Kluyveromyces lactis: one gene and its partners. The protein of the gene in region 2 interacts with the protein of the main gene of each other region in a pairwise test. Links are inferred from orthologs where the notes say so. Each region holds a gene or a part of one and is shown on either strand. Other genes may lie near its edges. The genes, in order: XRN1, LSM4 and GIS2.

What was found.
Region 1: the proteins of LSM4 (region 2) and XRN1 interact in binary tests that used the Saccharomyces cerevisiae proteins (3 or more experiments, as listed by UniProt). The link is inferred for Kluyveromyces lactis from reciprocal best matches to the Saccharomyces cerevisiae genes LSM4 and XRN1.
Region 3: the proteins of LSM4 (region 2) and GIS2 interact in a protein complementation assay, tested with the Saccharomyces cerevisiae proteins (2 studies listed by BioGRID). The link is inferred for Kluyveromyces lactis from reciprocal best matches to the Saccharomyces cerevisiae genes LSM4 and GIS2.

Annotation. Positions count from the first base shown.
Region 1 is NC_006042.1:2,093,944-2,096,177, reverse strand, and holds the end of XRN1 (chromatin-binding exonuclease XRN1), read right to left. Parts: coding exon 582-2,234; downstream 1-581. Other genes in the region: BUD13 (Bud13p), read left to right, coding at 1-485. UniProt on the Saccharomyces cerevisiae protein: Multifunctional protein that exhibits several independent functions at different levels of the cellular processes. 5'-3' exonuclease component of the nonsense-mediated mRNA decay (NMD) which is a highly conserved mRNA degradation pathway, an RNA surveillance system whose role is to identify and rid cells of mRNA with premature termination codons and thus prevents accumulation of potentially harmful truncated proteins.
Region 2 is NC_006041.1:1,854,980-1,857,540, reverse strand, and holds LSM4 (U6 snRNA complex subunit LSM4), read right to left. Parts: upstream 1,155-2,561; coding exon 603-1,154; downstream 1-602. Other genes in the region: TMN3 (Tmn3p), read left to right, coding at 1-115; SBF complex DNA-binding subunit SWI4, read left to right, coding at 2,218-2,561. UniProt on the Saccharomyces cerevisiae protein: Component of LSm protein complexes, which are involved in RNA processing and may function in a chaperone-like manner. Component of the cytoplasmic LSM1-LSM7 complex which is involved in mRNA degradation by activating the decapping step.
Region 3 is NC_006039.1:252,806-255,118, forward strand, and holds GIS2 (mRNA-binding translational activator GIS2), read right to left. Parts: upstream 986-2,313; coding exon 515-985; downstream 1-514. Other genes in the region: trifunctional dihydropteroate synthetase/dihydrohydroxymethylpterin pyrophosphokinase/dihydroneopterin aldolase FOL1, read left to right, coding at 1-224; RTC4 (Rtc4p), read right to left, coding at 1,282-2,313. UniProt on the Saccharomyces cerevisiae protein: May act in the sexual differentiation pathway.

The DNA of each region.
Region 1 (2,234 bases), on a different chromosome or scaffold from region 2:
AAGAGATGGAAAAGCAGATCGCAGAAAAGGAAAAACTTTCTATGCAAAAATCAGGGCTTCTCAAGAAGAATCAGAACACAGTATATAGAGACGAAAAAGGTAAGGTAATAGATGGATACGAAGAAGAATTGAAACTTCGAGAAAAGGCTAATTTGACAGCGAAAGTACGTAAGGAAGAAGAACTTAAAATACGAAATATAGGCGAAGTACAAATATCAAAACTTGATCGCAAAACTGAGAAAAGTGCATTATTATCAACCGAAGATCCATTGAATCAAGGAAACACCCTGCGAGGAACGAATACGTCACTGTTGGGTCGAAGGCTTTACGAGAAAAACTTTCCAGAAAATCGGTTCGGTATCGTTCCCGGTTATAGATGGGATGGAGTTGATAGATCAAATGGGTTTGAAACTAAGTGGTTTGCTAAGAGTCACGATATCGCTGATCAAAAAATAAAGGAACAAACAACAAACCGGGAATTTTGAAAAGTTGAACCTGAAAGTGTCTCTATTCTTATATACTAAGCATTATTTACTGAAGTGATATAATATTTACTGTTAATAGTCCATTCAAACCAACATTCAGGTTTCAGTTTTTTTAGGAGAATTTTTGAAATGACCACCCCTCCCGGAGGCACCACGACCACGATTACTACGGCCACGACGACCGCCACGAGAATGAGAAGATCTCTTTGTATCATCTGAGTCTTTATTCTCCACATTTGCTGTACGTCCATTCTCATCTCTAATTAGGAGATTCTTAAGATTCCTGGATGCCTCTTTATCTAATGGTGGATTTTGTACAGGTTGTGACTGAGGAGGAGCTGCATAAGCAATATGCTCATTATTCGGAATGAAAGGCGGCTGCATCATAAGAGGATGAGGAATACCACCAGGAACCATATGTGGGGGAACAGTGAAATTGTAAGGCAGAGAATTTGCTGGAGGTGGTTGAATTTGCTGTTGAGAACCTGGTTTGATTTGGTTCAAGACGGCATTGAACACGTTGTTAGCAGCCGAAGGATTTAAAGTGTTAACTGCTATTTGCGGAGCGGATCCAGATTCGGTATTTGATTCCGCGTTATCCTTCTTGATATGATTTAACAACTCATGGGCTTGCTTTTTTTTGAGTTCCTCCACTCTCTTCTTTTTTGCGAGGGCGACTTGCTTATCATTAGGAACTGCTTTTGGTTTCTTATCAGCACTCTTCGATGCCTTTGAATGATATACCAATTGTCTATCAGACAAGTTTAATAAGAAGGAAGAGTCCAATCCCAAACCACGTCTGGTCTGCAACCTACCACCAAAGTTGTTTCCTGCAATTATTTCATTGTCAAATAGAACTTGGATTGAGACGTTCTTGCCAATTGAAGTGTAGCCAACGACAGTACCTTTGCTGTGAAGTGGAACCTTGCCTGAATCTTGAATGTACATTACCCTATCACCTAAGTGGAACCTTTGGGAGCGCAATAGAACATATGACGATTCCGCATTTAAGATTGCCTCACGTGGGACCTTAGCTAATTTCTTCTGCTCGCTTGAATCTGGTAAAGAAACGTATTTTATGATTTCAGATTCAACAGCTGCCATCGAAGCCTTGGTTAGCGAATCACTTTCCAAAGACACCACCACGAATGGTTTTCTTGCTTCTGAGAGCCAATCAGCCACTGTTTTCAAAATGGAATCAGCTTCCGCGCTAGATTTGTTAGGGAAGAGATCAGTGATCGATGGAATTGCTTGTTCCTTCGAGTTAGAAAGTTTCGCAAAGAACTCAGGGAATGTAGATCTGAACTGCTCTAACAAACCAAGAGCGACGTCAGAGTATTCCCATTTGTTTGAGCTGCATCTGGCATAACCGAGAACTTTTTGATTTCTTGCTTTGAATTTGATCATCAAACCGACGTTATGGCTTTTCTTTTTAGAATCATTGACCAAATATCTTGAAGTAATTTTTGACAAGAAGAGAGGGTGGACACGAGCTATTTTTGAAAACACTTGTGTTGGGTAGAATCTCAAGGCTTGAGAATCCAATTTCGCTCTAACTTTTCCGATGTTAGGCTCTGCTCTGAGAGAACCCTTTTTGACTGTAAGTTTTAATCTAGTCTCACTATTATAACCATCAACGGTCGCCTCCCCACCATACGCATAATCACCTAAAAACACAACTTTTGAACCTTTTGGAAATTCTTTATTAATTGGTAACGGCTCTTTTTCAATATATCTTTCGTCCTTATT
Region 2 (2,561 bases):
TGTCTGTTATAGTACGTTATTCAACATTCTCTGCTGGACAGCATTTGGATCTTTAAGTTACCTAAGCTCATTGTGGTTCATCGGTAAGCTGAATGAATATAACAAGGCTAAATAAGTTCGCCTCTTATATTTAAAGTGAGGCCAAAAAAAAAAAGTCCGGCTCTCTTCAGGAGTCTCATATTTCTCCTATATAATACTGCATATCTAGCATGGACTTTCTAAACCAAGCATTTTTGTATAGAGTAATTTAAAAAATAACAACATTTGATCTTTTCCACGGTACCCATGCTCACATACTCTTAATATATAAAGCACTGATATACTGCTTTGAACTTAAGGTTCACTAACTCTGAATCATAATTAATAGGTAGTTCTTTTAATTTCATAACCCAAATTCAGTTTTAAATCTCAAAAGTGTGAAAGGAGTAACGAGAAAAAGGTTTAGGATATCGCATCGAATGCAATCGAAACAGATGTTTTTATAGACTTTTGACCGTCCAAGCCAACAAAATAGTCTCTTTAACCGCAATAAAAGTGATTGAATATGTAACCATGTAGACACACAAATACTTAAGAATTAAATGCTGAGAAAAGAGGTTAAATCAAAATTGTGGAGTTTGATTACTATTGTTTGACGCCTGCGAATACGAAAGCTGTGGATTGGATGATGCATCGTATTGTGATCTATTTTGAATATTATAACGACGAGATCCTGCATTGTTATGGCTGTGAGTATTGTTATTATTATTATTATTATTATTATTGTTGTTGTTGTAATCCCTTCTGTTACCTGAGTTTTGATAGTTTCTTCTACCACCTCTTCTGTTACCATCCCTATTCTGATAATAATTATTGTTATTATTGTAGTTGTTATTTCTTCTTCTATCGTCTTTACCGCCTCTGTTTTGACCCCATTGTTGTTTTACCTTGTCTATGATATCATCTTGCAAATTAACATACTTGATGAAAGAACCTTTCAAATAGAAGCTTGGTAATTTCAAAGTCTCTCCACTAGCTACATGAGTGACATTGGAAAGTGTCAAGTTCATCCAATTGTCTACATCAGATAGCGTACCTTCCACAGTTTCTCCATTTTTTAGTTCAACATGCATTGTTTGACCCTTTGCATTGGTCAATAAATATAATGGAAGCATTTTATGTTATAACTTATTGATCTGTTTTACCAATTATAGTGTGCCCGTGCTGTCGTATTTCTTTAGGTATCTCAAACCGTAGTAACTTAATCGTAGGAAAGGGTGGGGCCGGAACAATATACAATATACCAAAAAATTAGGACTCTGTCTGTCTGGAGAAGGAAAAATGTGAGGGAAAAAAGTATGAATTAGACTTTGTTGCTTATCTGCGTATCTGTAGTTTGAGTTATGTAACACTCCCTAGTAGGACGAACCAAATGCATACAATTGCATTGACAATATTTAAATTCCAATTACAATATAACTTCAGTTTTTCCAAATTTCATTGAGCTGGAAAAAGCATTCTCGACATTTCATAAAATTCATTTACCGGGTAACACTTAAAAGTTTCGAATCACGTGAGTGTCCCGGGTAATACTGACACGTGAATATAATCTGATTATTGATTTTTCTCTTATTTTTTCACTTTTAAGACTGTTTCTGCCCCCCTACTCCTTCGTGTCATACGGACCCTTCTAGGCGTTTTGAAAGGTTGCCTCAGCTTTGAATATGGGAACACACTGGAGTGAGGTTTGAAATGTGAGATCTGAGATTTTTTTTTTGGTGAGGCATCTAATCTTTCTTTTCCCAATTGGGTAAAGAGATTTGATCACAGTTTAAAATAAAGATTATAATCTTTTGAAAGCAGACTTTCTCACGCACTTTACAATGTCATTTATGATTTGTGTATACCTTTGTTATTAACAGTGTCTGTAGGCTACGTGAACTTAGCTAAATATCAGAGCATTCCAGTTGAGATTGATTTGGTCTGCTACTCCGATATCTGGATACATTTTTGGGCACTGGTGGAAAAGCTAGAATAACCGTAACTGCGTGGTATATTTTACGTTGAATTTTACAAAGTGAGCGAGCTTGAGATCACATTGCCAGGAGCAGAAGCAGAAGCAGCAGCAGAAGGTGACACTCGACTCGAAACGCTTTGTTGACTCTGGCGTGCTTTTCTTTGCTTTGTTTTGTCTAAAACAATTAGGATTTCGTGTGCATTTATTTCTTTCGTGTAATTATGGAACAACACTTGTCGCATCATAGCGGCAACGTTTTTGACAAGGAATCTATCCTTCAAATGCACATGGGCACTCATCATCATTCTGAGAATGATACACTTTTGAAACCGTTCAATTCTAATTTATTAGGAGCTAATAGTGGTGCTACCAATAATTCTTCTTCATCCACGGGAGCATCCTCTTCGATGATCGATGAAAGGCAGATCGATGGGAGTTTAAAGAAAATCAGTGAGGAACCTACTATGGCGGAGACAAGTGGTTATGACAGCGAATCGGAAACTTTCATTGAAGTTGCTACATACGCGGGCGTTGATGTATATGAATGTTATACCAAAGATAAACC
Region 3 (2,313 bases), on a different chromosome or scaffold from region 2:
GTAATGAGTACTATTCTTTAATAAATCTTCCTGTGTTGGTTGGACCATCTAGAAAGAAGTTCATTGGAGATATAACAAAGACTCCTAGTGCCAAAGATAGAGATTTCGCAACAGGAGCGATAGTGTCCGCTTGCGTAGCAAACGGATGCGACATAATCAGGGTACATGATGTTGCTAATATTAGCAAGGCATTGAAACTCTTAAATGAACTTTATAGAAACTAGGATATGATGTGATTAAGACAATATATTTTAATGTATTTACTTTTAGCTGTTAGATTAACCTTCGCTCTGCCATCACATAATGACATCTAAATTGCTGCACTGAACTACCACATTGAAAGAGATATTGTAGAATATCATTGCTTGACGATGAATAAGCAAAAGAGAAGCAACAGAAACAAGAAAAATAATTGGGATCATACCAAACAATGAATCCGTTATCCCAAGATACAAACTTATCGTGATAAGGATTAAAATTGAAATGATAAATTCACTAGAACTTACGAGCACAATTAATAGGAAGAGCAATCCTTGGCGATGTGACCGACGCCGTTGCAGTTGTAGCAAACTTTCTCGTTTTCACCGTTTTGACAGTCTTTGGACAAATGGCCAGCTTGACCACAGTTGTAACAAGTTGGTTCAGACTTTAAACAGTCCTTAGCAATGTGGTTAGGGCCACCGCACTTGTAACAAGAAACCTTAGGACCACTACGCTCGTTGTTTCTGAATCTCTTTGGTTGATCACATTCTCTAGAGATGTGACCAAAGCCATCACAGTTGTAACATTTTTGAACGGTACATTCAGTCTTAACATGACCAGTTTCGCCACAGTTATAACACTGCTTGAATTCGACAGTCTTTGGGACAGTACATTCTGATTGGACGTGGCCTGGCTTGTTACAGTTGTAACATAGCTTTTCAGAATCACAATCACTAGCCAAATGGCCCAACTTCCCGCAAATATAACACGCCTTACCTGACATTTTCCTCACACTCTTTAGTCTTCCCGGAGTGTTTCTGTTAAAACCACCATTTTTTCAGAATACAGAGTGTTGGAATATAGCACGCTTGTTTTAAAGGTAATCTTGGAATCATAGAAGAGGATAGGCGCAAAGGTCTCCCATCGCAGAGGAAGCGTTTGTTAGAATTTGAAAATTTTCCAGTCGTGTTAAATGATTTGATGGGATTTTCAGATAGATCTTAAGGTCTTCATTATAGAACAGTCCATGGGACTGGCTAGAATGGAATGCAGACCAGTTGCGTAATAGTACTGGGTCTATTATCCTACGTTCGAATCTTGTTTCCTTCTCGGATCATCCCTGTAGCTCATTGAAGAGTATTGTTGTGGTAGTCTTAGTCTCCTTAAAGACTCTTCCTCGCATTCAATTTCGTAAACTTCTAAAGGACTCAAGTCTGCGACCATTGTTCCAAACTCGATAGTTGTCTGCATAATATCCCACGCATCTTCGATGTTGTTTAATTTGAAGTCATCCATGCACAAGTAGCTTAAGACTTCCGGGGCTAAGATATATTGTGAAAAGTCGTAAGGGCCCCAGAATGAAATCACAGGATTCTTATTTCTTTTCAACTTTTCACCATAAGTCTCGAGGATAAGCATTCCAACGATAGCCTGTCGTCTGGATCCGAAGTACCCAGCGGTGAATTTCAAGATATTTAGATCTCGTAGTTCTTCGTTTGTAATCACTTGACGTTTTGAGTTTTTCTGAACCGTTTTCGCCATTGAATAATACAACGATGAGACCTTTCCGGTCAGTATCGCATCACAAACAGAAATATGCTCTCTAGTACGAGATTCCAGCTGGTCAAGAAACAATACTGGCGGAAGATCATATTTAGTCATGAATTTTTGCCTTACGGCGTTTGATTTCAAGTATGTGCTTTTCTCAGTATTCTTCGGCAACACAAGGGAAGCCGAGCTCTTTTTAAACTCTGATACACCCTCCGCATTCAAACCGATGCTATACATCTTAATGAGTTCCATTGACATTTCTTCTACGTCGTTCTCATCAAAAAAATCTCGTGAACTGCCCGGCAGTTCATGGACACTCTCATCATCAGTCAATTCAAGCATGTCAGCACCCTTGTTTCTCTCGTTCAGCGAGTCTAAATCTGATTCAACGTCACTGAATTGTGTTTCCAGGTCAATTGACTTGGGATCTTGGAGTTCTGTACTTTTCTTTTCCTCCTCTTTGGCAGAAACATCAAATTCCGAATCTGATAACTCCTCCAAACTGCCGGAGCGTACACGTAGCTTTTTATTCAAGCTGCCATTTAATGCCACCGTTGGGTG